Macaca mulatta: one gene and its partners. The protein of the gene in region 1 purifies or fractionates together with the protein of each later gene. This does not show direct contact. Links are inferred from orthologs where the notes say so. Each region holds a gene or a part of one and is shown in the gene's direction. Other genes may lie near its edges.

Region 1 (4,117 bases):
TCCTCACGGAGTCCCTCGTTTCCAGGCCCCACGTTTGGGCGCCACGAGTCCCGGCCCACGGGATTGTCAAAGCAGGCCCTGGAAGAGGGGGTGGGAATTTGGGGAACAAGAGACACGAGAAATGGAGACAAGACAGTATCCTGATCAAGTCTCGTTTAATGGCGGTAATGCAATGCCTTATATACATTTGGAGGGGAAGGGGTTGGGCTAAGGCGGAAATTACCTAAAAAAGGAAGGCGTGGCCAGATAAGCCTCGGTTTCTCCGGTCGGACGTCATGTTGCGCCTGCGCAGTCAGGTAGTCTTGTCCCAGGCGCGGGAAAAAAGAATGAAAAAGAAGCAGGAAGAGCGCCATCTTTTAATGGCGGTATTAATACAGGGAAGAAGGTAAATCTAGGGAGAAGATGTGGGGTGGAAATGAATATAGCTCAGGCATTTAATCTTTAATGATTATTCACTATGGCCGGGCGTGCAGCTCCGGACACTTCACCTCCTGGGTTCAAGCGATTCTCCTGCCTCAGCCTCCCAAGTAGCTGGGACTACAGGTGTGTGCCACCACGCCCAGCTAATTTTCGTATTTTTAGTAGAGACGGGGTTTCACTGTGTTGACCAGGCTGGTCTCGAACTCCTGACCTCGTGATCTACCCGCCTCGGCCTCCCAAAGTGCTGGGATTACACGGGTGAGCCACCACACCCGGCCTGAAATTTTTTTTTTTTTTTTAAGAAATTGATTTTTTAAATCGTTTTTAAAGCGCTACCTAGGTTTAGCTGGGATAATGCATCATTTCATTCTTCTTTTACTTATTAATAACCATTTTAAAAATTACAAGATCCTATCAATTTGTCTGATTTACTGATTCCCCTATCCCAAAGTGGAGCGCAAAATTTTTATTTCTTCAACCTAAAGTTAGTTTAAAATACTTTTTCTGAAGAAAAAAAGAAAGAAATCCACATTGCCCACAGTCACTGGACAGGAATCTCAGCGTGGAGACACACGTTCAATTTCCAGAAGTCTACCTTCCCCTACCCAGGTTCCCGCAGCTCCTCAGCGCCCAGCCGCACCTCTTACGCCCCTCCCATGCTTCCCTCCAGCCTTCCTCCTTCTTCTCCCACTGCCTCCGCCCACTCTCTCGCCCACCCGGGAAGCTCCGCCCGCTTCAGCTCCGCAACCCAACTCCTTCTGTCCGGCTGTCGCTTTCCTCTTTCCCCGCCCCCATGGCTGCCTTCGATTGGCTAAACCTGCTGGGCCGCGGCGGGGATGCGGCGCAGCCGCATTCTGATTGACTAAACGTAGGCCTGGACCCTCGTGATTGGCTGATAGGAGGAGACAGCAAGTGTAGCTGAGCTCCGGGGTGTGTGGACGCCGCTTTGTTGCCTGAGGGGGGTGGCGGTGGAAGTTAAGGGAGTCAGGGGCTATCGCTTCTCGGGACTCGCAGTCGCGGCCACTGCAGTCACTTCTCCAGTTAGCCCTTAGGGTAGGGGTCGCGCCGGCAGCAGCCATGAGCGGCGGCGTGTACGGGGGAGGTGAGTGAGTGCGGCCGGAGGAGAGAGCGCGCGTTTTCGGCGTGTGGGGTTTGTAACCGCCGCTCCCAGCCCTCCCCTCCTCGGCGTTCCCTTCCGGTTTCCCCCTCTCGGGACCCCGGCCTCCCCGCCCCATCCCCGCCCCACGCTCTGCCCGCCCCCGGAGCCCACCAGGCTCGGCCAGCGCCTCGGGCGCCCTGGAGTGGCGGCTCTCTGTGGCCGGTTCCTGCCTCTGCCCCCGGAGAAGCAGGGTTTTGGGATGCACGCTCGTTTCTCTAGAGAGCCTCGGGGCTGGGCGGGAAGCTCAGTCCAGCCGGCCGCCGGGCCCCGGGTTGCGTTACCGCCCCAGGGTCGCATCTCCACGAGTGCCTCCTGGACTCGGCTGTGTCGGGGCGCATGTGCTCGCGCCTAAACTTGGAAGGTCCCGGCGGTTTGCAAGCGTGGACGGAGGGTTCCCAGAGCGTCTCACAGGTGGCAATGCGAGCCTCAAGCCGTAGAACTGACTAGGGAAGCGGCGGCCACTTAGGGTACTGCCTCCTCCCTGTCTGTGCCCCATGCGCGAGCTGCCTCACCTTTCAGTAACTCCTGCCTGTTTGTTGGCTGCGGAGTCTCCAGAGTGACTCGTGGGCGGGTCTGTTTGAGATTAATTCAGGAGCACGTGTAGTTTAAGGATGCCCAGAAAGTTTGCCGGGGGTCCTAGGCGTCTTGTTTTTTCACTTATCCTTGATTAGACTGGTGTGGCAGAAAGATTACCAGGTGCGGGGGGTTACAGACCTGAGTTGAAATATCCGCCTCACTGTTGAGCGCTTTGGTCTTAGGCAATTTACATAATTTTCCAACTTCAGGCCTCATTTGTGGAATAATTCCTAGCCAATGGGGATGGGCGTAAAGGTTAAATGAAATAATGCTACATTTGCCACTTAAAGTCTGGTCCATGGACCAGCAGTGTCAGCATCACCTGCAAGCCTCTTAGAAATGCAGAATCTCACGCGTCATTCAAAATCTACTGATTTAGAGCCTCCATTTTTGCAAGATCTGCAGGTGAATCAAAACACTGATACATATAATTAATGTTTTGGGTTGTGTTTGATGAGTTAGAGACCCAGAAAACAAATCCAGACTATTGCTATTGTTGCTGTGTCTAGTAGTGATGCTGTTTCTATAAAGGATGTCATTTTACAGGTAAGATACAACAAAAATAAGATTTTTCCTTCATGTTCCCCAAGAAAATCACATCACCCCTAAACTTGGAAGGAGAAAAACATTTAAATCCTCAAAAAAGAAAAAAAGCCTTTTTAGTAGAATAGAGGTTCAATTCTTTTTTTTTTTTTTTTTTTTTTGAGACGGAGTCTCGCTCTGTCGCCCGGGCTGGAGTGGGCTGGAGTGCAGTGGCCGGGTTTACGTCATTCTCCTGCCTCAGCCTCCCGAGTAGCTGGGACTACAGGCACCCGCCACCTCGCCTGGCTAGTTTTTCTGTATTTTTTAGTAGAGACGGGGTTTCACCGTGTTAGCCAGGATGGCCTCGATCTCCTGACCTCGTGATCCGCCCGTCTCGGCCTCCCAAAGTGCTGAGATTACAGGCTTGAGCCCCCGCGCCCGGCCGAGGTTCAATTCTTGAGGATTTTTATACACTAGAAATTGCATCCTAGGTTTTAAACATCCAGAACTCTGTGGTTCTTTCTACTAAGCCTCCTGCCTCCCATTGCCACTCTCCTACTTAGGGTTCATGGGGCTTGATTTTTAATGAAGCAGGGTACAGGAATTAGATGTATCTCCCATCCTGAAAAAGGAACAGATGTAAAATTCTAAGAATTTAGAGTCTTAAATTAAACTTCCACCATATCCAGTTTACTAATTAGGGCAGGAAAATGAGCTGATATGTTGGATTTTTTTCTATTTCACAAAAATGTTTTTTGAGCACTATGTGGCAGGTATAGGCTGTTGTCATCAAGAAGTTCAGTCTTGTAGATGAATCCGTTAGGTAAATAGACACCATATTTCACCGATTCTTAATTGTACATTTTTCCCACATTTAAACAGCTGAAGTTGGAATATGTCTTTTGTTTGTTTGTTTGTTTTTAATAGAGACGGGTCTTGAACTCCTGAGCTCAGGCAGTCCTCCCGCCTCAGCCTCCCAAAGTGCTAGGATTACAGGTTTGAGCCACTGCCCCCAGCCGGAATATGTCTCAGTAGTGCTGGCCTGGCAGAGTTTTAATTGCCATATTATTTTCTTAGTGATGCCGGAAATAGTGGTGCATCATGTAGTTGATAGCATCTTATATTGATCAGAAATGGTAACTGTAATTCAATGAGAGCTGTTCATTGATAACAATATGTAGAAGGGGCCAGGTGCGGTGGCTCACACCTGTAATCCCAACAACTTGGGAGGCTGAGGCGGGCGGATCACTTGAGGCCAGGAGTTCAAGATCAACCTGGCCAACATGACAAAACCCTGTCTCTACTAAAAATACAAAAATTAGCCAGGCATGGTGGCACATGCCTGGAGTCCCAGCTACTGGGGAGGCTGAGGCACAAGAATCACTTGAACCCGGAACTGCACTCCAGCCTGGGTGACAGAGCAGGACTGTATCCTAAAAA
Region 2 (4,219 bases), on another chromosome or scaffold:
TCCTCTTCATTTACACAGGGCGTATCCCAAGTACCCAAGAGTATTTAAACTCCAACAAATCCTGTAACTGGCCCCTATGGTCAGCCGGCCCCCACACTGGAGTGTACTTTCATTTTCAATAAATCGTTCATTCCTTCCTTGCTTTGTGCGTTTTGACCAATTCTTTTGTTCTTCTTTTTCTGTTTTTTTTTTTTTTTTTGAGACAGAGTCTCGCTCTGTCAGCCAGGCTGGAGTGTAGTGACATGATCTCGGCTCACTGCACACTCCGCCTCCCAGGTTCAGGCCATTCTCCTGCCTCAGCCTCCCGAGTAGCTGGGACCACAGATGCCCGCCAAAACGCCCGGCTAATTTTTTGTATCTTTTTTTTTTTTTTTTTTTTTTTGTAGAGACGGGGTTTCACCGTGTTGGCCAGGATGATCTCGATCTCCTGACTTCGTGATCCGCCCGCCTCGGCCTCTCAAAGTGCTGGGATTACAGGCGTGAGCCACCGCGCCCAGCCGTTTTGTCCAATTCTTTAAGATGCCAAGAATCTGGACACCCTCCACCAGTGACATCTTCACAGTTCTGAGGAGTATTCATGGGGTATTTTGTAGAATGTTTCTCAATTGGTATTTGTCTGATCTTTTTCTCATGATTAGGCTGGAGGTAGCTGGGATTTCAGGTGTGAGCCACCATGCCCAGTCTCCAAATCCTGTTTACGCAAAAATTTTTAAAAATTAGCCAGCCTTGGTAGTGCGCGCCTGTAGTCCCAGCTACTCAGGAGCCTGAGGTGGATCACTTGATCCAGGGAGGCGGAGGCTTCAGTGAGCGGAGATTATGCCTCCCCCGCTGCACTCCAGCCTGGGCGACACAGACCTTGTTTCAAAAAAAAAGCCTAATATGGCTGGGCGCCCTGGCTCACGCCTGTAATCCCAGCACTTTGGGAGGCCGAGGCGGGCGGATCACGAGGTCAAGAGATCCAGACCATCCTGGCCAACATGGTGAAACTCCGCCTCTATTGAAAATACAAATATTAGCTGGGTACTCTGGAGGCTGAGACAGGAATATTCGCTTGAACCCGGGAGGCGGAGGTTGCAGGGAGCCGAGATGGCGCCACTGCACTCCAGCCTGGCGACAGAGCGAGACTCCGTCTCAAAAATAAAAGAAGCCTAATACACGAAATAAAGCTAGAAATCTTCCCTGAGTCCTCCTGCCTACGGAATGAAGTCCACAGACCTGGGGGAGCGTTCGAGCCCCTCTAAGCACAGTTCCTTTCTCCAGCCTCTCGCGCGCAGTTCACTCCCGACAACACCTCCCGCCGCCACAAGGAGACGCCCGAGGACTGCCCTCCGTCAAAGCCCAAACGGTATTGCCACGTGACCCGCTCCGCATCCACGTGAACAGCGTCGCACCCGGTGGGCGTCACGTGACAGACTCAGTAGTTCTCCAATCGCTGTGCACGTTGTGGGGTTTCCACCTAGGACTCGGCCTGAGGCTTGTAACACTTCGTTTTCCCAGGAGTCACAGGGGCAGTCTTGCCCCTTGCAACTGGGTCGCGGTGACTCTCAAAGGTCCCCCTCTACAGGGGCTTCGTGAGGCCCGGGCCTACAGCGGGCTCGGTCCCGGAAGTGACGTCTCCCACAGGGGCCGGAAGTGGCAGTGGAGGGAGGGAAGATGGCGGAGGTGGTGAGTCCGGTGCCCGGGGCGGGGCGGAGGGAGCCAGGGGAGGTGGGTAGAGCCCGAGGCCCCCCAGTAGCCGACCCTGGCGCCGCGCTGTCTCCCCAGGGGGAGATAATCGAGGGCTGCCGCCTACCCGTGCTGCGGCGGAACCAGGACAACGAAGATGAGTGGCGTGAGTGACGTTGGGGGGCGGGGCTAAGGAACCTGAGGGCGAGGGGCGGGAGGGAGTCAACTGAACCCCCGGGATGGGGAGGGGCCTCTGGAATTATGGGGCGGGCGGGGCGCAGATACTCCCATGAAGGGGCGTGGCTCTTAGCTGCTCCGAGAGGTACAGGGCGGGGCCTGGAAAGGGGTGGCAGTAGTGACTGAAGGAGACTTAGGAGAGACCTTCTAAGTGCTGGAGCTTAGGGATCCGGCCTTGGGGTGGAGTTCAGGTCGTGGAAGGGTGGAGTCTCAGCCTGGCCCGGCCCGTCTAAGGCCCCTGCCTATGCTATTCCCATAGCCCTGGCTGAGATCCTGAGCGTGAAGGACATCAGTGGCCGGAAGCTTTTCTACGTCCATTACATTGACTGTGAGTTCTGGGCCTGAGGTGGGGCATCAGGGTAGGGTTGGGGAACAGTCTTTGGCATTCTGTCCTGAGCCATCCCCACTGCTGCAGTCAACAAACGTCTGGATGAATGGGTGACGCACGAGCGGCTGGACCTAAAGAAGATCCAGTTCCCGAAGAAAGAGGCCAAGACCCCCACCAAGAACGGACTTCCTGGGTCCCGTCCCGGCTCTCCAGAGAGAGAGGTGGTGAGTAGGTCCCCCACTTCACCTCTTCTCTCCTGCCTCGTGTTTCTCTTATCTGTTGGCATTAGGGGCTCCTGGATGGGCAGTAGGCGGCTCCCTCTCACCCTGACTTCATCTTGCAAAGGATGGGGGCCGAATTGCACATGTAGCTCCCAGAGTCCAGTAGCTAGTCCTGTGTCCTTCAGAAGGCGAGGGTGGGGTTTGATAATTTTGAGCTGAGGGACCCCTGTTCCCCTTCCCCATTCCACTGCCATCCCCGCCCCAGAGGAAGACCCTGGACCTATCTCTACAGCCGGCCTCGGCCCAGGCAAGCGGGAAGACCTTGCCAATCCCGGTCCAGATCACACTCCGCTTCAACCTGCCCAAGGAGCGGGAGGCCATTCCCGGTGGCGAGCCTGACCAGCCGCTCTCCTCCAGCTCCTGCCTGCAGCCCAACCACCGCTCAACGGTACCCTCAGCAATTCCAGGGACCTTGCTTTCTTCTCAGGTCCCACCTTCTCTACCTTCTGACCCACCTTTGTTGGTTTCTCTCTGCAGAAACGGAAGGTGGAGGTGGTTTCACCAGCAACTCCAGTGCCCAGCGAGACAGCCCCGGCCTCGGTTTTTCCCCAGGTGAGTTTCCCAAACCATTTCTTGTTCCCTTTCTCTCTTCTACTCTCTGGTGGCCTTTTTCAGGCTCATCTCACAGCCATCCCTTCTTTTACTACTATATCTGCAGAATGGAGCAGCCCGTAGGGCAGTGGCAGCCCAGCCAGGACGGAAGCGAAAATCGAATTGTTTGGGCACTGATGAGGTGGGTCTGGGGAGCAACAGAAGGAGCTGGGTGAAAAGGAAGGGATGCAAGCAGGGTGGAGAGTTAGTGATGAGTTTAAAAATAAAGAAGGGGTGGTAGGCGGGGCTAGTGTTGGTGGGATTAGGAGCCAGGCAGAACATGGTTCAAATGAGTCATTGGGGCTGGGTGCCATGGCTCATACCTGTAATCCCAGCACTTTGGGAGGCCAACCAAGGCGGGCAGATCACCTGAGGTCAGGAGTTCGAGACCAGCCTGACGAACATGGTGAAACCTTGTCTCTAATAAAAATACAACAATTAGCCAGGCGTAGTGGCAGGCACCTATAATCCCAGCTACTCAGAAAGCTGAGGCAGGAGAATTGCTTGAACCCCAGAGGTAGAGGTTGCAGTGAGCCAAGATCATGCCACTGTACTCCAGCCTGGGCAACGGAGTGAGACTCCATCTCAAAAACAAGGGTCATTCAGTGATCTTTTCCACATCATCAATCCCTTAGGGTTTCAGGTTTTTTATCCAGAAATTGGGGATCATGGTACCTCCCCCATAGGGTTGCTGTTAGGCTTGCAGGAAACCTGTCAAAGGGCTGTGAGCTGTGGTGTCCTGCTGAGCTGTCTCTTCTAACCTGGTATTTTCCACTGGCCCTGGGCAGGACTCCCAGGACAGCTCAGATGGAATACCATCAGCACCACGCATGACTGGCAGCCTGGTGTCTGACCGAAGCCACGACGACATCGTCACCCGGATGAAGAACATCGAGTGCATTGAGCTGGGCCGGCACCGCCTCAAGCCGTGGTACTTCTCCCCGTACCCACAGGAGCTCACCACATTGCCTGTTCTCTACCTGTGCGAGTTCTGCCTCAAGTACGGCCGTAGCCTCAAGTGTCTTCAGCGTCACTTGGTATGAGGGGTCCAGGGAAGCTGCCTTCCCAGCACTCTCCACGTTGCCCTTGTTCCTGACTGTCCTCTCTTCTCCAGACC
Region 3 (4,084 bases), on another chromosome or scaffold:
GAGGCAGGTGAAGTTCAAATCCTGGTTCCCATACTTGTTGTGTGCACTAAGAAAATAATTTGACATCTCTACACATTAGTTTTCAATCTGTAAAATAGGACTGATAATATGGATGGTGTGTGAAAACATATACTGTGCATCATTTATTATTTTGCTTTACATTCTGTAGCACCCTCTAGTGGTGTATACAAAAATATGCATTGCATTTCTACTCTCCAAAGCAGTGGTTCTCAAACTTCAGTGTGTGCTGGAATCACTGGGATAGTTTGTAATAACACAGATTACCAAACCCCACCGTGAGAACTTCTGATTCATTAAGTTTGAGGTGGGACCTGAGAATGTGAATTTCTGACAATTTTTCAGGTGATGCTGATGTTTCTGGTACATCCAGGAAACACATCTTGTGAACCACTGCTCTAAAAAAATCCCTCTTGTGTACAAGTATATAAGATAGATAATTGAAAGGGGTATGATTTTTGTTGTTTGACTTTGATCTAGTACTGCTCATCTAATAAGGACTTGGTGATAAATTAAAAAAAAAATCGACATGAAGGATATAACACAGCATCTAAAATATAGAAAGCATACAAAAAACTGAGGATCACAGAACATAAATCATTTGCCCAGGGTACTGAGACTAGTAAGTGGTGGAATGAGGTTAACAATTAAGTCTCTTTCTCTTACTCCAAAGACACAATAAAGTCTATCAATACCACTACAGAAAATAGGGTGCAAACACACATATCTGATACAAATTTCAAGAGAAAAGGAAAATCAGTTTTCAATACCAGGGTCCAAGTTTTACTGATGAGTTCTTATCTCTTTACTAAAGTAACAGCTATCTGTATTTTCAGTTTGGGTGAGTTGCGAGCATTTGAAAAGGTGAGGAAAAAGGGTTAGGATCTTCAGCATCAGTGCTTGGGTCATTCATTAACTCTTTGATTAAACAAGGCAAGGACAAAAGAAGCGAGGGATGGAGAGGGGCCTTCCCCCCCGCCCCCCCACCCAAGGAGAAAAGGAAAGAAATGAGTAAAATTATTTGGATCTTGGGTCACAGTTCCCTGACTACTAGTGCTATTCACAGAAGCTGATTTTATTTTTTCCTAGGAATGAACGATATCAATGATGCCTTAGATATTAGCGTTCAGCAAATCAAGAAAGGGGAGGGGGGAGGGAAACAAAATCCCAGAATCCCAGGGACCACACAGCCAATCCTTTGCTGGGATTTGGCGGCATCTAGTGGCGAACTCGAGAGGTATAAACCTTACCCACAGAACTTTCTGGAAAATTAACAGTGCGTATTTGCCTGAAGAAGGTCAGTGTGCTTGCTTGGAGATCAGGACGCAAAGGTAAGAGCGCCCTAGTCACCATAAAAATCCGGAGTCTCTAACGGAGGGGAAGGCTGTCATAGATAGATATTCTCATAGGAAAATTGTATTTGTGCCAAGAGAACTGCACGCAACCTTGAAGGGAGGGGGGAGGTGTGGAAGAGGGGAGGGAGGAGGATACTAGACAACTTGAAAGAAGTCTCCCTTTGGAGTTGCTAATGTGACGATGGAAGGCTTTGGCTCTGAATCATTGGAGGGCTGTGGTTTACGACCGGATTTTGGCACAGAGGAGTATTTAAATCAGGGAAAGCCAAAATATTTCTGACAGTGCCCCTTTATCTCTGTTATTGTCGCCTTGCCTTAATTATTTATTTTCATTTTCATTAGAACATTTTCAAACAAAATACAGAAATAGATAACCTGCGCGCAGTAGCTAACCCCTCCCCGCAACTCCCACCCCAATCACGCACGCGGGCGCGCGCCGTGGCTCTCACCAGTCCAGACGCCAGGGGCGCACGCCTGCGCAAACACATCACCTCCAGCGCCACGAGGGCCGCTCACACAGCAACCCCAGGGGCACTCGAGCCTGCCCGCGCACTAACACACTGGCCTTAATGCCTTGCGCCCGTTGCACTCACGACCCTAACTCGCAAACACAGCAGAACCCCCCACTGCGCCTTTTTTTTCCATGTTCGGGGAGTTGCGCCACAGGCCTGGGGGCGTGGCTCCAGATTTGACCTCGCGCTTCCCCACTCGCGGGAACCTTAGCTCATTTCCGCCTATTTCCGCAGGCCACGTAGACACTTCCTCTCCCAGTGGGGGGCTGGGGGGAAACACAAACCCATAATGCCTCCCTGCAGGAAAAAAATTAAAAAAAAAAAAAAAAGGAAAAGGAAAAAAAAAAAAACCTTCTGGTCAGAGGAACTCTGGGTCGTGAAATAGGCCACGTGAACATTCTGCCCTATAGACTTATGACCCAACGGCTGTCACGCTTTTGGAGGGCGGGCTAAAAACCTAAGAGGGCGAACGTCATTGGCCGGAACTCGCACTGACGGAGGAAGAGGATTGGTTTGCTGTAGGCCTTAACAGTGAAGAAGCAGGTTGCTAGCACCCGCCTTTACTGCGGCGAAGTGTCATTGCTGACGTGGGGGTGGTTGTCCAATCATTTGGTTATGGAACATTCTAAAACTTAGACAAGACGATTGTGATTGGCTGAAGGGCATACGCCCTCCTCCAGGGTGACGTGTCTGCCTATGGATATCAGTTGCCAGAGAAACCTGGCTTTACTATGGCGGTTGGAGGAACGGCAGTGATCACACGTCGTCTGCTGGGAAGATCTGGATTCTCGTTTCAGGTTTCGGGGTGGGGGTGGGGAGAAAGGGTCGATGATTTCCTCTTTTCGTCGGGTATAGACGGGATTAGCTAGTTCCTTCACAATCGGTCAGAGCTGGATTCAGATTCCTGCTCGCCAACGCCCAGCTTGGGCAAGGCTCCTGTTCTTTCTGTGTCTCGGTTTCCATGTTTGTAAAATGGTGATAATAATAGTATCTACCTCAGAGACGTGTACTGTATAATGGTGCGTATAAGGCACGTAATATGAAGCCTGGCCCCTGAAGATATTAGCTATTGTTATGGAGATAAATAATACACGTAATAGAATGAGAAAAATTATAAATTATATAAATTCGCTAATTGTAGTGCCCTTTCTGCCATCAACTTCTTTCCTAGAATAAATTAAAGATAAAAGAGATATATCAATTTTTACCAATGAAATAATTTGCTCTTTGGGAATTGCCTCAAAATTGCAGAGATTGTAATTTTCCCATGTTGAAAAGTTAAATAAAAGGTGGGGGGGTGGAGTGCGAGAAAGAAAGAGATGGAGAACGAGAGCGAGCTGGAGATGAACCACATGCGATGAGTAGGCCTTGTTTGGATCCTGAATCGAACACACCAACTGTAAAAATATGTTTAAGACGCATCGGGAAAATTGGAACATGGATTCGATATTTGATGTTTTTTAAGGAATTGATGTCAATTTTTTTAGGCGTCACAGTAGTATTGTGATTATGTTTTCAAATTGTCCTTTTTTGTAGAGACATATACGAAAATATTTACGGATTAAATAATATAATGTCTGGGATTGGCTTCTAAATACATTAATGACTAGGATTTGCTTCAAAATAATCTAAGCGGTAGGGGGAAATGGGGAGGGGTATAGATGAAACAAAATTGACCCTAAATTAATAATAGTTTTTGCTGAGTGATAGGCAGTGGGTTCCGTATATTAATCTGCTTTCCTTGGTATACGTTTAAATTTTTGTATAATAAAATACAGAAGTCAGATATTCCCGTGAGCTTGAAAAAGTCGGGGGTGGGGGGGAGCAGTGGGTGGGGTTATAGATGAAACAAGATGGCCTTCAGTTGGTAATTGTTGAAAGCTGGATGATGGATTCGTGTAGGTTTGTAATACTATTCTTTTATTTCATCCATTTGAAATTATCTTTAAGGAAAAGTTAAAAAAATTGTCAGAAATTATATAAATATACAATAAGTTAAATTTGAAAATGTAGCCACAAGAAAGGAAAAAGAAATACTTGTACATTATTTATCAGCTTTGGTGTCCTTTGTGTGTGATGAAATTGCATTGGCTGATGTAGAAGAAAGCCATATCTCATATCTTTTTATTTTATGTCCTTTCCTGTCCTTTTGTTTGACCTTCTAGGTCACCATCAGAAAAGCTAAGTTTGCTGTATAGT
Region 4 (3,500 bases), on another chromosome or scaffold:
GCCCCACCAGGGGGCGCCCATGGGCCCCCCGGGCTCCCCCTACATGGGCAGCCCCGCCGTGCGACCCGGCCTGGCCCCCGCGGGCATGGAGCCCGCCCGTAAGCGAGCAGCGCCCCCGCCCGGGCAGAGCCAGGCACAGAGCCAGGGCCAGCCGGTGCCCACCGCCCCCGCGCGGAGCCGCAGGTGAGTGGGAGGCCCGGCGCGGAGGGGGCGTGCAGGGGCGGGCCCTGGGGACCCGCAGGGACCAGGTGAGAGAGTAGCGGGGATTGGAAGAGGTGAGGAAGAATGATTAGCAGGGAGCGAGGCTTCCCGGATCGGATGCCCTCTGGGGAGGTGGGCTTAGGGGGCACCGGCCTGATTCTTTTGTGTGCCCACGGTAGAGACAGGCTGTGGCCGTCGGCAGCCGGTACCGCTTCCCTGCACGTTCCCCTCACCCTTCTCCTTGTCACCTGCTCAGTCCCTCTCTCCACCCATCAGGTTCTGGGTGATGCTTCAGTCTTTGGGTTGGGGGCGGGGCTTCCAGTGGGACTGAGGGCAGAGCTGTAGGACTGTGTTGCCCAAAGTGTAGTTCTCCGCTGAGCCTTCCTGCCAGACCCCGGACTGTTTCAAAGCCACTCCAGATTTTCTCAATGGGACTCTCTGGCCCTGGGGGTGGAGCTTGGGGATTTGCCCTGTGGTAGGTGGTCTCTGCCCAGTTCCGCTCTTAATTCTTAGGCACTCTGGACCAGGTCTGCTCCCAAGCCACCAGGGCCAGCCCATTGCCTTATTTTCCTCCAGCAGCTGGTGGCACCCTTAAAGCCCCTGCTGGCTCCTGGCAACAGCAGTGCCCCTCTGGATTTCAGTATTTAGCCAAATACACATGCTTTTTTTGCACAACAGATGGATTTCTATAAAAGGTGTAATATCAATTTTACCTCATTATTAAGTATTTTTTACACATCAGGTAAAATTCACCACTTATAGGAATCCCATGATGAATTATTTTGTAAAGTGCATCGTCATTTTGTACAGCAAACGGTAATTCCCTGATTTATCTTGTATAAATGGAGAGTTACACAAAGATAATCTGTCTAAAACAAACCAGACCTTTAATGAAATCTGCTTGTTAGCCTTAGATTTCTGCATAGGGAGGGGGTAGTGGTTGAGAACACCACACGGGGGCAGTATGGAGCTATTCTCTAGGCTGCGTTTTCATCTCTTGACCCGCCAAGGTTTTTCTGGGGGTTTTTGGGTTAGTCAGCAGCAGCTAGTGGGTCAGAAAGAGCTCACATCCAGCTGCTACTACCCTGGGCCTAGTCAGTTTGGCCTCAGCCTGAAGTCACACCCATGCACATTCTGGGCGCCTATGGCTGCAGCATGTCCCTCACCTTGTTGCCAGGTAGTCCCAGGGCATGAGTACCCCTGCTCATCAGCATTCTCTTGCAAGCCCAGGGTGCCTGGAAGGGATGCAAGTCCCGCCAGCTTCACACCATCACCTCCCGCTCCATGGATAGGAAGGAAGTCGTCTATCTCCCTCCCTCTGAGCTTAGAATCCTTTGGACAGGGCACCCCCTGCTTTCCAGAAAAGGTCCTCAGACCTGGCTTCCCTCTCCTTTGTCCTCCCTCATCCCCACCTTTCCTCAAACACTTCTGCAGCTCCCATCTTTTGGCAGCACCACCCCCACTCGCCAGTCCCTCCTAAGTCTAAATTTCTCTGTCCCTAAGGATGTGGCAGGTTAGAAGGGGGCTCCCAGGCCAGAGAATGGACGGGTCACCCCTGTGTCCTTAGAGAGGACAGAGCACCAGTTCCACACACCACCGTCATAGCCCTTGGGCGGGCAGACAAGCGGGCTGTGGGAACCCCAGCCAGGCGGGCGGAGATGTCGGGATAATTTAGCAGGTGGCCTCGTTACTCCCAGATCTGTCGCCATGGTAACCTGGTTTTTTCTTTAAAAAATGTACAGTGCCAAGAGGAGGAAGATGGCTGACAAAATCCTCCCTCAAAGGGTGAGTGTCTTTCACAGCAGCCCCCAGCCCACCCCCTACCCTTTGCTGCTCTGCCCTCCCCTCCCCCCTCAAAAGCAGAGCTTCAGTGTCACAGTCACTTTCACTTTTTGTTTAAAAAAACTCATTAGTAAGTGAGGCTCCCTAGGCCAGAGGGAGGGGGTGAGGTGGAGGGAAGCAGCAGAGCCACTGGGGCCAGAACACAGGGGCCTGTCAGGGGGCTGGATCCAAGTGGTACTAAGACAGAGTTGTGGGACAAGAAGGGGGCAAGAGCTAGGGGATCAAAAGCTGCCAGGCAGAATGAAGGGGATAGAAGGTGGCCAGAGATCCTGAGCATCCTAAAGGGACCCAGGTCCAGCTGGATATGGGGGACAGCACAGTTGGGACAGGTGTGGGGGCTGAGCAATGTGCCAGCAAAGAAGAAAGCACTGCTGTCCAACTGTCCCAGGGATTGAGCCCCTACTAGGCACTTTGCAGGGGCCCAGGGGAAGCCCAGTGGGCATATGACATAGAAAATGACAGGATGAGGAGACTAAAGGCTAGTGCTTTGCTGGGTTCCACAGTTGCTACCTCCTCCCCGTGATGATACACAAGGCTCTTCCTAAAGGGAGAAGCAATTGTTATCCCTACACAGCAAGGCCCCTACTGCTGGATAATGGCATCCTGGGGAGAGGTCCTGTTCCCACTGTCAAAGCTCCATGCCCAGAAGTAGGATGGCTCCCCCGACATCTTTTGCACCCTAGGATTGCACAACATGCATACATTCCATGGTACAACCCTGGACTCGAGCCTCTGACTCCTGCCCTGCTCCTCCTCCTCCAGATTCGGGAGCTGGTCCCCGAGTCCCAGGCTTACATGGACCTCTTGGCATTTGAGAGGAAACTGGATCAAACCATCATGCGGAAGCGGGTGGACATCCAGGAGGCTCTGAAGAGGCCCATGAAGGTGCCTTAGTTCGGGGGTAGGAAGGGGACTCTTGAGTCGCGTGACCAGGATGGGGAAGCAAGGTAGTCAGGGTGGAAGCACACAGCATTTGCCAGGTTCTACACTCTATTTCTACAGCAAAAGCGGAAGCTGCGTCTCTATATCTCCAACACTTTTAACCCTGCGAAGCCTGACGCTGAGGACTCCGATGGCAGCATTGCCTCCTGGGAGCTACGGGTGGAGGGGAAGCTCCTGGATGATGTACGTCCCGGCCCAGGTCTCTCCAGGTGTCCTGGGGTGGGCACGGGCTGCACTGAGAACAGAACAAAGTGTCTGCACTAAGGGCTAGGGAGTCAGCCCAGGCTGGGGAGGTGGGGGCAGGCCTAGAGACATTCCAGGTGCAGAGGATTTCATCTAAGCCCACTGCCCTGTCTGCTGCCAACTTGGCCTCCTTCTGCTTCTCCCACCCTGTCCCTGTTCTGCCCCCATGGTTCCTGTTCCTCTCCCACAGCCCAGCAAACAGAAGCGGAAGTTCTCTTCTTTCTTCAAGAGTTTGGTCATCGAGCTGGACAAAGATCTTTATGGTCCTGACA
Region 5 (3,500 bases), on another chromosome or scaffold:
TTTGTAATATTTTTTGTTGCCCCTTTAATAATATTTGGAATATGTAATATGAATATTTTAAAAAATCAAGCTTTTTAAGCTTTTAAAAGGTTTACAAATGCATAAGGTTTTGCTGTTTTTAATAGTCTTTTGATCTTTTTTTTGGAGATTTAGAGCGACGAGATTTGTCTCACAAGGAGAAACTCTACCTGAGAGAACTAAATGTCATTACTGAAACTCAGTGCACTCTAGGTAAGAATAGCTTTTAATGTGAATTTTTCAAGCTGAACATTTATGAGATGATATTGGATAAGTATGTTCTTTCCTAAAATATTTTACAAAATTAGTAAAATAAATTGAACTATTTAAATGCTACATTATTTACTTCATTTTTTATTATTGTTAAAATGCACAGGAGATTAAAGCTTGAACGTTCACACATGTGATTCCTGACTTACGGTTCAGCTTCATGATGGTGTGAAAGTAATGCATATTCAGTAGAAACCATACTTCAAGTGTCTATACAACCATTCTTCTTTTCATTTCAGTATAATATGTAACAAATCACATGACATATTCAACACTTTATATTAAAATTTGTGTTAGATGATTTTGCCTAGCTGTAGGCTAATGTAAGTCTTCTGAGCAGGTTTAAGGTAGGCTAGGGTAAGCAAAGATGTGTGGTAGGTTAGGTGTATTAAATGCTTTTTCTTTTTAGGATAGTTTCAACTTAGGATGGGTTTATCATATGTAACCCCATTGCAAGTCAAGGATCAACCTCTATTCTATAACAGAGTATAATTGTCTAATTTTTTTTGACACAGAGTCTTGCTCTGTTCCCCAGGTTGGAGTGCAGTGGCGCGATCTCAGCTCACCGCAACCTCCATCTCCCGGGTTCAAGGAATTCTCCTCCCTCAGCCTACCTAGTAGCTGGGACTACAGGCGCACGCCATCACACCCGGCTAATTTTTGTATTTTTATTAGAGACAAGGTTTCACCACATTGGCCAGGCTGGTCTTGAACTCCTGACCTTACGATCCACCCGCCTTGGTCTCCCAAAGTGCTGGGATTACAGGCATGAGCCACCACGCCCAGCCCTTGTCTAATAATTTTTACAGAGTTTTCAGAGTGTTTGTATTTTGTGTGCAAAGCTTGTACAATTTTCTTTTTTAAGTCGTAGGTTCTTTGCTGAGTGCATGGTGTGTGTCTGTAGTCCCAGCTACTTGGGAGACTGAGGGAGGAGGATCACTGGAACACAGGAGTTTGGGGTTGTAGTATGCTGTGATCATGTCTGTGAATAGCCACTGCACTCCAGCTGGGCAAGATGACGAGATCACATCTCTAAAATGCAAAAAGGCAAATTTTGTTCAGTTGTTAGTTCTGTATAATTATGTCCGTGCTTTATTTGTAATCTTTCTTTCACAAACATTTTAATGCAACGAATTTTTTTCTTTTATTCATCCAGTATTCTGTAGTACTTGTTAATAGTGCATTTCATTATTTAACAGTTGTTTCTAACTAAAGGGATATATGTTCAAAGCACAAAAAATCTTAAAAATAAAATTGTTTGATTGAAAAATTGATATATTTGCCTTTTGCAAGATAATCTTTTAATTGCTTGAGTTTATATTATTAATATTAAGTTTAATTATTTTCCAATGTACTAAGATATTTTGCTTTGGCTATTTGAAAACCATTAAAATGTGGAGCGGTTTGAAGAAGTAAATTTTGAAGAGTGCTTTTGTTCACTTATCCTTAAAAGAGCTTCTTTATTTTTTTATTTTTTGGTCTAAAATAGGTTTAACAGCATTGCGCAGTGATGAAGTGATTGATTTAATGATAAAAGAATATCCAGCCAAACATGCTGAGTATTCTGTTATTCTACAAGAAAAAGAACGTCAACGAATTACAGACCATTATAAAGAGTATTCTGTAAGTAATTGAGGTGACTGGCATTTTTTATTTGGGTTGGGGAGAATGACATTTTATAAAGTTGTATGTGACTTCCAACTGTATATTTTTTTTTCCAGCAAATGCAACAACAGAATACTCAGAAAGTTGAAGCCAGTAAAGTGCCTGAGTATATTAAGAAAGCTGCCAAAAAGGCAGCTGAATTTAATAGCAACTTAAACCGGGAACGCATGGAAGAAAGAAGAGCTTATTTTGACTTGCAGACACATGTAGGATAACTTAAATTTAGTACCCCTGAACTTAGTTTATTACTTGTTATTGCAGAGTGCCGATTACCCCCTTTATCATTATTTTTTGTACCACCTTTTTTTTTTTTTTTTTTTTTTTTTGGCGGAGTCTCACTCTGTAGCCCAGGCTGGAGTTCAGTGGCGTGATCTTGACTTGCTGCAACCTCCACCTCCCGGGTTCAGGCGATGTTCCTGCCTCAGCCTCCCCAGTAGCTGGCATTACAGGCGCCTGCCACCACACCCAGCTAATTTTTTGTATTTTTAGTAGAGATGGGGTTTTACCATGTTGGCCATGTGTTTTTTTCCTCCTCGGAAGTTGAGATACTAGTTTTAATGCTGTGCTTAATAATACTCAATTTACATTTTTTTGTGAGATGTCTTTTGCTTTATGGTTGATAGTTCTACTAAATGAGACTAATAATTGCTACATATCATACTTGCTATGTGTCCCAAGAGTTTTTAAAAGAGATTTGCATGTTAATTCTCACAGTAACCATGTGAGGTTGGAACTAGGATTACTTCCATTTCATAAAGAAATTGAGCTACAGAGAGGTCGTATAAGCTACCTAGATCACTCTGCTGTTAAGTAGCGAGCAAGAGATCCATTGCCATTCCTCAGGAGAATAGGCCTCTGAAACGATAATATATAGAATTGAAAGCACCAACTGTCCTCTTAGGTTATAGCTCCCAATATCTCTTAAAATTCTAGCTTTTCTAGGGAGAAGTGGGCGTGCAGTGGAGAGCATGTGGGGACTCTTCCTAAAACCTTGATTCTTAGCATGGAATCAGTTTTGTGTTTCTCTTTATGTTAACATAGGTTATCCAGGTGCCTCAAGGGAAGTACAAAGTTTTGCCAACAGAGCGAACAAAGGTCAGTTCTTACCCAGTGGCTCTCATCCCCGGACAGTTCCAGGAATATTATAAAAGGTATTTAGTAGTTTTAGTTACACTTGGTATTGGCTATTGGTAAGGGGTTTCAGAGCCTTTTGTACTTGCCTCCTAACAATTATGGGGTCTATAGATATCACCATAAGATACTATATAGGATTTGTGTTGCTGTTCTTCTCTGGTTCTGTGGTAAACAACACCCTGTAGTCGGAATTTGAATATATGCTGATGAAATCTGGATGCCTCTGTCTCTGCCTATTTTGTTTGGGTTTGTCAGAGACAGATGCTGGGAGTTCTATAGCACCTCACTGCTCAGGGTATGTTCTGTGGTCCAGAGCACTATTATTGCTCAGAAGCTTGTTGGAAATGCAGAATCTCAGGCCCAATTCTAGACCTGTGACTCAAAGTCTGCATTTTAACAGATGTCTGTATAAT
Region 6 (4,086 bases), on another chromosome or scaffold:
GGGGGTCCTGGAACCAATTCCCATGGATACTGAGGGATTACTGTACTTTGGTTTCCCACCACTGTGAGGATACTGAACAAAGCAACTTCAGTCACTGCCCTTCCCAACTCTCCAGTGTCTCCTTGCCCTACCTTCCAGCCCCATGTGTGTTTTTGTAATAGCATTTATCATAGTTGCATTTTTTTTTTTTTTTGTAAGAGAGACAGGGTCTCCCTTTGTTGCCCAGGCTGCAGTGCAGTGGTGCAATCAGCTCACTATAACCTTGAACTCCTGGGCTTAAGGGATCTTTCCCACTCCACTTCCCAAGTAGCTGGGGCTACAGGTGCACACCACCATGCTACACCCAGCTTATTTATTTTAAAATTTTTGTAGAGACAGGGTCTTGCTGTCTTGTCCAGTCTGGTCTCAAACTCCTGGCTTCAAGTGATCCTCCCTGCTTTGGCCTCCTAAAGAGTTGGGATTATAGGCATGAGCCACTGAGCCCAGCCACAGCTGCAATTTCATTAGACTGAACCGTATGAAATCATCAGTAGTGGGCCACTGTTTTACTCCCTGCATTATTCAATCAGTTACGTGATTGCTTTGAGACTTTCATTAGTTTCACTAGCTTCAGGCTGTAAGAGCCAAGAGGCAGAGCCGAAGGACTGGGCTGCCTGGTTTCGCTCCCCACCATAGGGCTGGGTTAAGCAGAGTGTGAAGCTAAGAGGGGAATGGAGAAGGTGGAAGGTGTCCCTCCCTTCCAACTCTCGCTCATCTGACGCACCAGCCAAACCAAATACCACCTGGGCCTTTGAACATTGCCAAGCCTCATCTGCTGTTGTCATTTTGCCCACCTCCACAACTGCAGGGACAGCCATAGGCCCGGAACTGGGATATCTGTTCCTAGGGGCCTGCCTATCTGCTCAGCTGCACTGCGTTTTAGGGGTGGGGAAGCTAAGGCAGGAGCCTGGGGTCCCAAAGCATGCCAAGACCACTCAGGCTTCCAGATACTAGGTCCTCCTCCTTCAGGTCTCACTTCATTTCTTTTCCCCTGGGCCAGTTCCAGTCCTGGCTGTAAGACTTGGAAAGCCACTGCTTGACTCAGGACCTCAGTGGCTATTTTTGTCCGTGAGAAGTCCTCTACACCACGACTTGGGAAGCAGCCTGGGAGAAAGAGAAATTAGTCGTGGCTCCTTTAAGGGGTCCGCGGAGGCGCGCCCGGCCTTTTGTTTGAGCGGCGGCGCGCGCGTCAGCGTCAACGCCAGCGCCTGCGCACTGAGGGCGGCCTGGTCGTCGTCTGCGGCGGCGGCTGCGGCTGAGGAGCCCGGCTAAGGCGCCAGTACCCGGCCCGGTCCACATTTTGCCTTCCGGCTTCGGTTTCCCTCGGCCCGGCACGCCCCGGCCCCGCCCCAGCCCTCCCGATCTCTCGCAGCCCGGCTCCAGCCGCCCGCTTCTGCCGCCGCAATGATGATGATGGCGCTGAGCAAGACCTTCGGGCAGAAGCCCGTGAAGTTCCAGCTGGAGGACGACGGCGAGTTCTACATGATCGGCTCCGAGGTAGCCCGCGGCGCGTCCTCGCCCTCCCCGGGCTCGGCCCCGCGGGAGCCCTGGGGCAGGCCCATGCGCCGAGAGCGCGCGTCTCCATTCATCGGGGCGGGCGGGCGCGCGCGCGCTCGGGGCTGCAGGGCGTGGCCTAGTGGGCGTGTCGGGCATGGCCCCCGCCCCCTCATCGACCTGGGATTTCCTTACCCATTTCGCCGAGGTGCGCGATCTGTAGTGCTACCAGGATTTTGGCGCCGAGAGGGTCCCCAGTGGTTCCGCGCTGGGTTGGTTTCCAGCCAGACGCAAATTAACGAGATATTGAGTTAGCTCCTGCGATGCTTGGGGGACCGCACTGCTGCCTTTGACCCTTAGATGTTGTAAATTTCACATGCGCCCCTCCTCCTATTGCTACTTGTGGGAACCTGAAATGGCAGACTGGAAACCCCGGACTTAGTGAGGGCTCATCCCCATTGTGTTTGTTGCCTCTAAGGTGGGCAGTGGAGGTGTTTTGACCTTTTTACCAGTGAAGAAACAGACTGGAGGGTGTTTGCTTTTGGGTGAATAAGGGCCCCATGCCTAAGCCAGATCTTTCAGCAATTCTGAAGCAATTGACACTTTTTCCATATCTGTGAACTGATTCTGAATTGTTACAGCGGAAAGAGCCTAAAAATGTTTAACCCTTAACTAGAGAGGCTGCATTTTGTTGCATCAACTGGATGACTGACTTTAGGAAAACCCTACAACTGGCCTTTAATGGGTGTTTGTTCCCAGTATATTAGGTTCTTGTTTTTCGTTTTTTATAGAGACGGGGTCTTGCTATGTTGCCCAGGGTGGTGTCCAACTCCTGGGCTCAAGCAGTCTGCCTGCCTGGGTCTCCCAAAGTGCTGGGATTACAGGCATGAGCCACCACGCCTGGCCATATATTAGGTTTTTCCAGATTGTCTCAAACTAGCCTTTTTTGCTCCAAAGGCAGTCCCCAGCTAGTATATGTTACCTTTTTAAAAAAATTATGGATATGCAGTTCAGATGTACAAATGTCAAGCAGTGGAGTCTCATGTAAGGAAGTAAGTGCCAATCCTGGAGAATTAAAGCTGTCATGAAATGCAATGAGGCCGGGCGCGGTGGCTCAAGCCTGTAATCCCAGCACTTTGGGAGGCCGAGACGGGCGGATCACGAGGTCAGGAGATCGAGACCATCCTGGCTAACACGGTGAAACCCCGTCTCTACTACAAAATACAAAAAAACTAGCCGGGCGAGGTGGCGGGCGCCTGTAGTCCCAGCTACTCGGGAGGCTGAGGCAGGAGAATGGCATAAACCTGGGAGACGGAGCTTGCAGTGAGCTGAGATCCGGCCACTGTACTCCAGCCTGGGTGACAGAGCGAGACTCCGTCTCAAAAAAAAAAAAAAAAAAGAAATGCAATGAGTTTCTTCTCCTTGTAGCAGTTTTTAGTATCATATTCCAGCATTGTATTCATGCTTTGTTTTATTTTTATTTTTGAAAAAAGGTCTCACTTTGTTATCCAGGCTTTGGTGCAGTCGTGTGATCGCAGCTCACTGCAGCCTTGACCTCCTGGGCTCAAGCGATCCTCTTGCCTCAGCCTCCCAAGTAGCTGGGACTAGAGGTTTGCACCACCATGCCCGACTAATTTTTGTATTTTTTGTAGAGACGGGGTTTTGCCATGTTACCCAGGTTGGTCTTGAATTCCTGGGCTCAAGTGATCCTTGCACCTCAGCCTCTGAAAGTACTGGAATTACAGGTGTGAGCCACCACACTCACACTCAGCGCATTCATACTTTTTAAACTTGCGGGGTTTTTTTTCTTTCACAATTGAGCATAGCATGAATGAATGAAGCCTCAAGATGGTCACACTGAGTCCCATGGATTGAGACTAAGGTCAATAGCATCAGAACTTTAGTGTTAGCATTTTCCACCCTTTTTTTTTTTTTTTTTTTTTTTTTTCCGGACAAGGTCTGACTCTATCACCCAGGCTGGAGTGTAGTGGTGCAATCTTGGCTCACTGCAACCTCTGCCTCCCAGGCGCAGGCCCTCCTCCCACCTCAGTCTCCCAAGTAGCTGGGACTACAGGCTCACACCACCACACCCGGCTAATTTTTGTATTTTTAGTAAAGATGGGGTTTTACCATATTGTCCAGGCTGGTCTTAAACTTGTGAGCTCAAGTGATCTGGCTGCTTCGGCCTCCCAAAGTGCTGGGATTATAGGCATGAGCCACTGTGCCTGGCCTCCATCAATTTTTGTAAAACAAAAAATGCAGGATGCAATAAAATTTTCACGTTGTCACTTAAACTACAACTGTTCAAAGATGTCAGTGCTGGGGAGGTGGAGCCAGTGCCTGTCCATCTGCCACAGTTCAGAATGGTCCTCATTGGCTGGTAGGCACCTGCCTAACTGCAGAATGCAAAAGGCTGTTGAATTTCAATACTAGGCGAATTGTTTACCTGATCTAATGGGTGTAAAAGTAATCAGTTTGGAGGGGAGAGGGGAGGGATTGCATTGGGAGTTATACCTCATGTAAATGAGGAGTTGATGGGTGCAGCACACCAAC
Region 7 (4,198 bases), on another chromosome or scaffold:
TTTCTGTTTATCTGTAAATCTAATAGCGTATGTAGTTGAACTCTTGAAATTCTGGAATGTTTATTTTATTTTATTCATTGTCTTGAGAGGAGCAAAAGGAAGTGAGAGGGCATAGCTTTGAACTGGCAATTTGGCAACTTCTCTCCCCTTGCCACCCCTCCCCCACTATCTTAGCTATTTGACCTGATTAAACAGCTTTGGAATGGTAGCCAGACTTCTGTATGCTAACGAGGCCCCTACCCTATTATCGATTTAATGCGATTTCATCCACGCAGAGCTTCCCGGTGCCCAGTGGAAGCCTGACTTCGCAGAAGTCTCCCAATTTTGTCAGGGGCTCGCCAGTGAAGAGTTCACACTGACTTGAAGCAGACACAGACTCTTTGGACGCCTCGGGTCACATCGGATTATTCACTAGCAAATTCTTTCCACCTTCTAAGTAGTGAAAGGTGACGTCAGAATCGCGTGTGCCACTCCTCTAAAGGGACTCTGACAACACCCAGTCCAGGCTCTACGACTTCTGCCTAGGCACTTGCTTCCTAGTAGTAGAAAGTTTCCAAAGGTTGCCTGAAGTCCTCCCTACCTCTAAGCCTAAAGGTCAGAGCTCCAGGTCGCACCACCGAGCAGGAATCTGAGCATTTTGGAAGTTTCTGGTGTAGGGAGCAGAACAGAAGGGGTGGTAGCGGCGGACCGCGCAGAGTAACCCCCCTGCACTACGTAAAGAAAGCCCTGGCTGCAGGAGGGAGTGAGCCTGACATTGAGGCATTCCAGGGGGAGGGTGAGTTGCTGTCCTGGAGTCGCCAGGAACAGCAGCGGCAGTTCCAAGAAGCGAGAGAGGAAGGTGGCGGAGATAAAGAGAACACTTCGGGAATAAGAATATTAAAAAGCAGCAGGACCCAGAGCATTAGCAAACGGCAAAGCACACGAAGTAATTTGTTACACGAAACGGCAGCCTTCCAACTTTTGTACTGAAACACGGGGATTTACCCTTTGGGGGATTAAAAATGTTGATATGCAAAGCCAAAAGCTAATGAATAGGATTCAGTGGCTTGCTGGCAATATTGAAATATTTCTGTCCAGGAGCGCAAACTCTGCAGTTATTTAGAAAAGTAGGGAGTTGAACCAAACTATAATATTCTCCCGTGCGTCTCCACTTTCCCCAGCCCGAAAAGGAGCTGCCAACGCGGTACTTCCCCTTTAAGACCTGCTGGCTCTCGGGCTCTACAAAAGGGAGTGACCTCTGGGCTTTGACAGCTCCCCTAATAACTACCACCGAGCAGGCCCCGCCCACCTGGCGACCAGCCGCGCCGATTGGCCGGCGGGCCGGTATCCCGCGCTCTGATTGGCCTGTCGCTTCCCCTGAGCGAACCTTTAGAACTCTGAGACAGACAATATTCTGTTACATTGTAGCAAAATGGCGACTGTCATTCACAACCCCCTGAAAGCGTAAGTAAGACTAAAAAATGTACATATTCCGCGTGGTTTCAATATGAAAAAAAAGGCGCCTTCTGCGTGGCGAGCGCTGCCAGTGCTTGCGCTTGCAGGCGCCTCCAGCCGCGGCGGGGCTTCTCTCTTCTTTCAGCTCTTACTTCTTTTTTTTCCCCCAACGCGCAGAAATGTCAGGAGATGCAATTAACAAGAAGAAAATTGTTACATTTGTGTTCTGCTAAATTGCAGAGAGAGCGAGAGATAGGGGTTGCCGGCGGAGGAGCCCGGCGCTCGAGCGCTCTACAGCAGGGGGGTCGCGGGAGCTCGGGGACAGCGCGGTCCCTGGAGTCCCCCGCCTCGCGGGCAGGGAGCGAGGCTCCGGGGGCGGCCGGGCGGGGGGCGAGCGTCGGGCCGGGACTGCCTCGGTGCACTTGGCCGAGCCCTGCACCCCCAAGCCCGCGGCCCCCGCCCCGCCGCTGGGTCTGCTGGGTCCGGCGGACGCACCGCGGAGGCTCCGGAGTTTGCAGGGCGCTCTTCGCCTTCCGATCGCTCGCGGGGAGTTTGTGCAAACCTTCCGGAGTTGGGAGCACCGAGGGGGAAGCAGCGGGTCCCGGGCGCGCTGGGTCCCAGGTGGTCGCCCCGGGCTTTCCCCGGCAGCCCCCGGATCTCGGAGGCGCTCCGGGCGACCGCGCGTGTGTCTGCTCGTGTGTTTGCGAGCAACCTGGCTGCAGTGGATTAACGACTCGGGTTAACTTGGGGTGGATTTGGAGGCAGGGAAGCCGCAGGTCTTATGAATGGTGTTCTCGCCACCTCTGGGTGAGGCGCCGAGGCAGGCGGAGAGGCGGTTTTGGGGCTCCTGGCCCGAGGGGGCAGCGTCTGCTCCCGGCCGGGCGAGGGGCAGGTGCCTCTGGCCGCCCCGGGGAGACTTTGAGCGCTTGTCCAGATCCTGGACAGAGTGGGGCGGGCCGGGCGAGCACTCGCGGGGGCCAGCCCCGGGTCCAACAGCCAATTTCTGCCTGCCTGCCTGCCTTCCTCCTCCTTTTCATCCTGGCTTCCTTCCTTCCTTCCTTCCAGTCGGTGGAACTGTTAAGCCGCCAAGTCCGCTCGCGATCGCGGAGCCAAGGGTGGCCTCGGAAAACTAGTGTCGCTCTGAAAGGGGTGCTATTGGGTGATGTCGGCAGAGGGTGGCTCCCTCCGTATTCGAGGTGGGCTGGGGGTCCGCACCCCTTCGACCGGGACTTCCCCGCCCGGACGAAGCCGCAGGCAAAGAGGGGGAGAGGGAGGTGCGGGCCGGGTAGGGGGCGGTTCGTGCCGAATTCTCCCTGGTGCGTGGCCACTGTCGACCCTGCTTCTTTTAATTCAGCGCATTCTCGTCTTCACCCCTCGCCACTCCTGGAGTTGAAAACCAGGTTCGCTCCCGGAGACGGTAGGGGGGTTCCTAACGCAAAGGAATGCACAGGGAGAATCAGACGTGTTTGCACCAGCTCGTCGCCCACCAGAAATAGGGAAACGGGTAGGAATGCCCCAGGTTTCAAAGATATTTATATGAAAGCTGCCGTTAAGAGGACGTTGGAAGCTGAGGCTGAGCAGATAGGAGCTCCCGGCTTCAGTTCTGCCTCGGAAGCTCGGATACACTGCACTTGAACGCCACAGCGTTTCATCCAAGAAAGAAAATGTTTTATGGCAGAATAAATGGGCGTAACTTCGCCGCATCCTCGCTGCCGGTTGCTTTCGCTGCAACACCGCTGATGCTGTCTCTACCGAACCCACAACTGATTTGCAGTTTCCCCATATCCAGCCGAAATCACATAACCAGGCTGATGCCACCTGGTAAACTCAAGTTAGAGAATCTATTTCACATGTGCACCAGGTTTGTTTCCTACTGGGAAAGCCGTACCCTACTTACCCGGGAGCCCGCTTTCGCGCGGGCGGGCGCAGTATCTCTAAGCTTCAGTGTTCCCCTGCTCGCTCCAGGGTTTTTTTGGATCACAGTAGGGTGCGCGTTTGGGGAGGGAGTCTGTGTAGGGTGGGGTTAAGGGTGGGGGAAGGGACAGACGGGGGGAAAGAAGGTGGTGGAATCCCGGCTGGTTAGGGGAATTAGTTCTGAATTGTACTTTGTATAATTAGAAACAGTTGCAATGTGATGTATTTGTAATTGTGCCGCCACACGCATGCACACACTAGCATACACACAACGCCCCTGCTTGCTTTTTCTAGGTGGGAGTTGAGTGGTCATTTATAATTAGCCATTCCTTTCTGCTTCCCAGACCCTTTCCCTGGGGGTAAAGGGGTGTAAACAATACCCCTGACCAGCCCAGCCTCTCACACCCTGGACAGTTTTTAACTCCTAATGCAGGAGCACACACGTTGTTATTGGGAGACGGACACCATCTGCCTTTTTTTTTTTTTTAAACAACTTGTTTAATAAAACATCTTATATATTTCATTTGTTTTTAAAAGTTGCTGATCAGGAAACAATACAAACGTGAATAAATTATGCATGGGATAAATTAGAACAAAGTGCAGAGACACATCCAGCCGAAGGGATGGTGGTGGTGCAGGGAGGAGGGGTAGCGGAGAGAATGGTTTGGAGAGCTATGTTTTTATCCTCATGTGTCCCTCCTGACAATGAAACAGAGCTGAATGACATTAGCATTTTCTCTGTGTGCGTTCTGAGTCTCTCTCTTCCCTCCAAAAAAAAAAAAAAAAAGCCAACACCACGGACGCCCCCTACAGAAAATGGTCACACAAAGGTTTCCTCAGGATGGGGGAT

The links.
Region 2: the proteins of ACTL6A (region 1) and KAT5 purify together in Homo sapiens (affinity purification with mass spectrometry; 6 studies listed by BioGRID and IntAct, with this or other methods). This does not show direct contact. The link is inferred for Macaca mulatta from reciprocal best matches to the Homo sapiens genes ACTL6A and KAT5.
Region 3: the proteins of ACTL6A (region 1) and MORF4L2 purify together in Homo sapiens (affinity purification with mass spectrometry; 5 studies listed by BioGRID and IntAct, with this or other methods). This does not show direct contact. The link is inferred for Macaca mulatta from reciprocal best matches to the Homo sapiens genes ACTL6A and MORF4L2.
Region 4: the proteins of ACTL6A (region 1) and SMARCD3 purify together in Homo sapiens (affinity purification with mass spectrometry; 3 studies listed by BioGRID and IntAct, with this or other methods). This does not show direct contact. The link is inferred for Macaca mulatta from reciprocal best matches to the Homo sapiens genes ACTL6A and SMARCD3.
Region 5: the proteins of ACTL6A (region 1) and PHF10 purify together in Homo sapiens (affinity purification with mass spectrometry; 3 studies listed by BioGRID and IntAct, with this or other methods). This does not show direct contact. The link is inferred for Macaca mulatta from reciprocal best matches to the Homo sapiens genes ACTL6A and PHF10.
Region 6: the proteins of ACTL6A (region 1) and SMARCB1 purify together in Homo sapiens (affinity purification with mass spectrometry; 11 studies listed by BioGRID and IntAct, with this or other methods). This does not show direct contact. The link is inferred for Macaca mulatta from reciprocal best matches to the Homo sapiens genes ACTL6A and SMARCB1.
Region 7: the proteins of ACTL6A (region 1) and DPF3 purify together in Homo sapiens (affinity purification with mass spectrometry; 4 studies listed by BioGRID and IntAct, counting the BioPlex papers as one, with this or other methods). This does not show direct contact. The link is inferred for Macaca mulatta from reciprocal best matches to the Homo sapiens genes ACTL6A and DPF3.

The regions. Positions count from the first base shown.
Region 1 is NC_133407.1:91,570,826-91,574,942, forward strand, and holds the start of ACTL6A (actin-like protein 6A), read left to right. Parts: upstream 1-1,317; 5' UTR 1,318-1,497; coding exon 1,498-1,522; intron 1,523-1,671; exon of another isoform or gene 1,672-2,046; intron 2,047-4,117.
Region 2 is NC_133419.1:8,680,893-8,685,111, reverse strand, and holds the start of KAT5 (histone acetyltransferase KAT5), read left to right. Parts: upstream 1-1,419; 5' UTR 1,420-1,653; coding exon 1,654-1,831; intron 1,832-2,161; coding exon 2,162-2,230; intron 2,231-2,317; coding exon 2,318-2,454; intron 2,455-2,716; coding exon 2,717-2,899; intron 2,900-2,988; coding exon 2,989-3,063; intron 3,064-3,169; coding exon 3,170-3,244; intron 3,245-3,890; coding exon 3,891-4,139; intron 4,140-4,216; coding exon 4,217-4,219. UniProt on the Homo sapiens protein: Catalytic subunit of the NuA4 histone acetyltransferase complex, a multiprotein complex involved in transcriptional activation of select genes principally by acetylation of nucleosomal histones H2A and H4.
Region 3 is NC_133426.1:110,318,700-110,322,783, reverse strand, and holds the start of MORF4L2 (mortality factor 4-like protein 2), read left to right. Parts: upstream 1-1,284; 5' UTR 1,285-1,349; intron 1,350-2,613; exon of another isoform or gene 2,614-2,690; intron 2,691-4,050; 5' UTR 4,051-4,084. UniProt on the Homo sapiens protein: Component of the NuA4 histone acetyltransferase complex which is involved in transcriptional activation of select genes principally by acetylation of nucleosomal histone H4 and H2A.
Region 4 is NC_133408.1:190,675,212-190,678,711, reverse strand, and holds part of SMARCD3 (SWI/SNF-related matrix-associated actin-dependent regulator of chromatin subfamily D member 3), read left to right. Parts: coding exon 1-183; intron 184-1,943; coding exon 1,944-1,986; intron 1,987-2,805; coding exon 2,806-2,928; intron 2,929-3,045; coding exon 3,046-3,168; intron 3,169-3,418; coding exon 3,419-3,500. UniProt on the Homo sapiens protein: Involved in transcriptional activation and repression of select genes by chromatin remodeling (alteration of DNA-nucleosome topology).
Region 5 is NC_133409.1:2,313,296-2,316,795, forward strand, and holds part of PHF10 (PHD finger protein 10), read left to right. Parts: intron 1-147; coding exon 148-231; intron 232-1,777; coding exon 1,778-1,911; intron 1,912-2,009; coding exon 2,010-2,159; intron 2,160-2,994; coding exon 2,995-3,104; intron 3,105-3,500. UniProt on the Homo sapiens protein: Involved in transcription activity regulation by chromatin remodeling. Belongs to the neural progenitors-specific chromatin remodeling complex (npBAF complex) and is required for the proliferation of neural progenitors.
Region 6 is NC_133415.1:27,965,597-27,969,682, forward strand, and holds the start of SMARCB1 (SWI/SNF-related matrix-associated actin-dependent regulator of chromatin subfamily B member 1), read left to right. Parts: upstream 1-1,286; 5' UTR 1,287-1,443; coding exon 1,444-1,536; exon of another isoform or gene 1,537-1,577; intron 1,578-1,881; exon of another isoform or gene 1,882-4,086.
Region 7 is NC_133412.1:146,037,055-146,041,252, reverse strand, and holds the start of DPF3 (zinc finger protein DPF3), read left to right. Parts: upstream 1-1,398; 5' UTR 1,399-1,411; coding exon 1,412-1,443; intron 1,444-1,478; exon of another isoform or gene 1,479-1,623; coding exon of another isoform or gene 1,624-2,032; intron 2,033-2,082; coding exon of another isoform or gene 2,083-2,177; exon of another isoform or gene 2,178-2,316; intron 2,317-4,198. Other genes in the region: uncharacterized protein LOC114679596, read left to right, coding at 1,624-2,032, 2,083-2,177. UniProt on the Homo sapiens protein: Belongs to the neuron-specific chromatin remodeling complex (nBAF complex).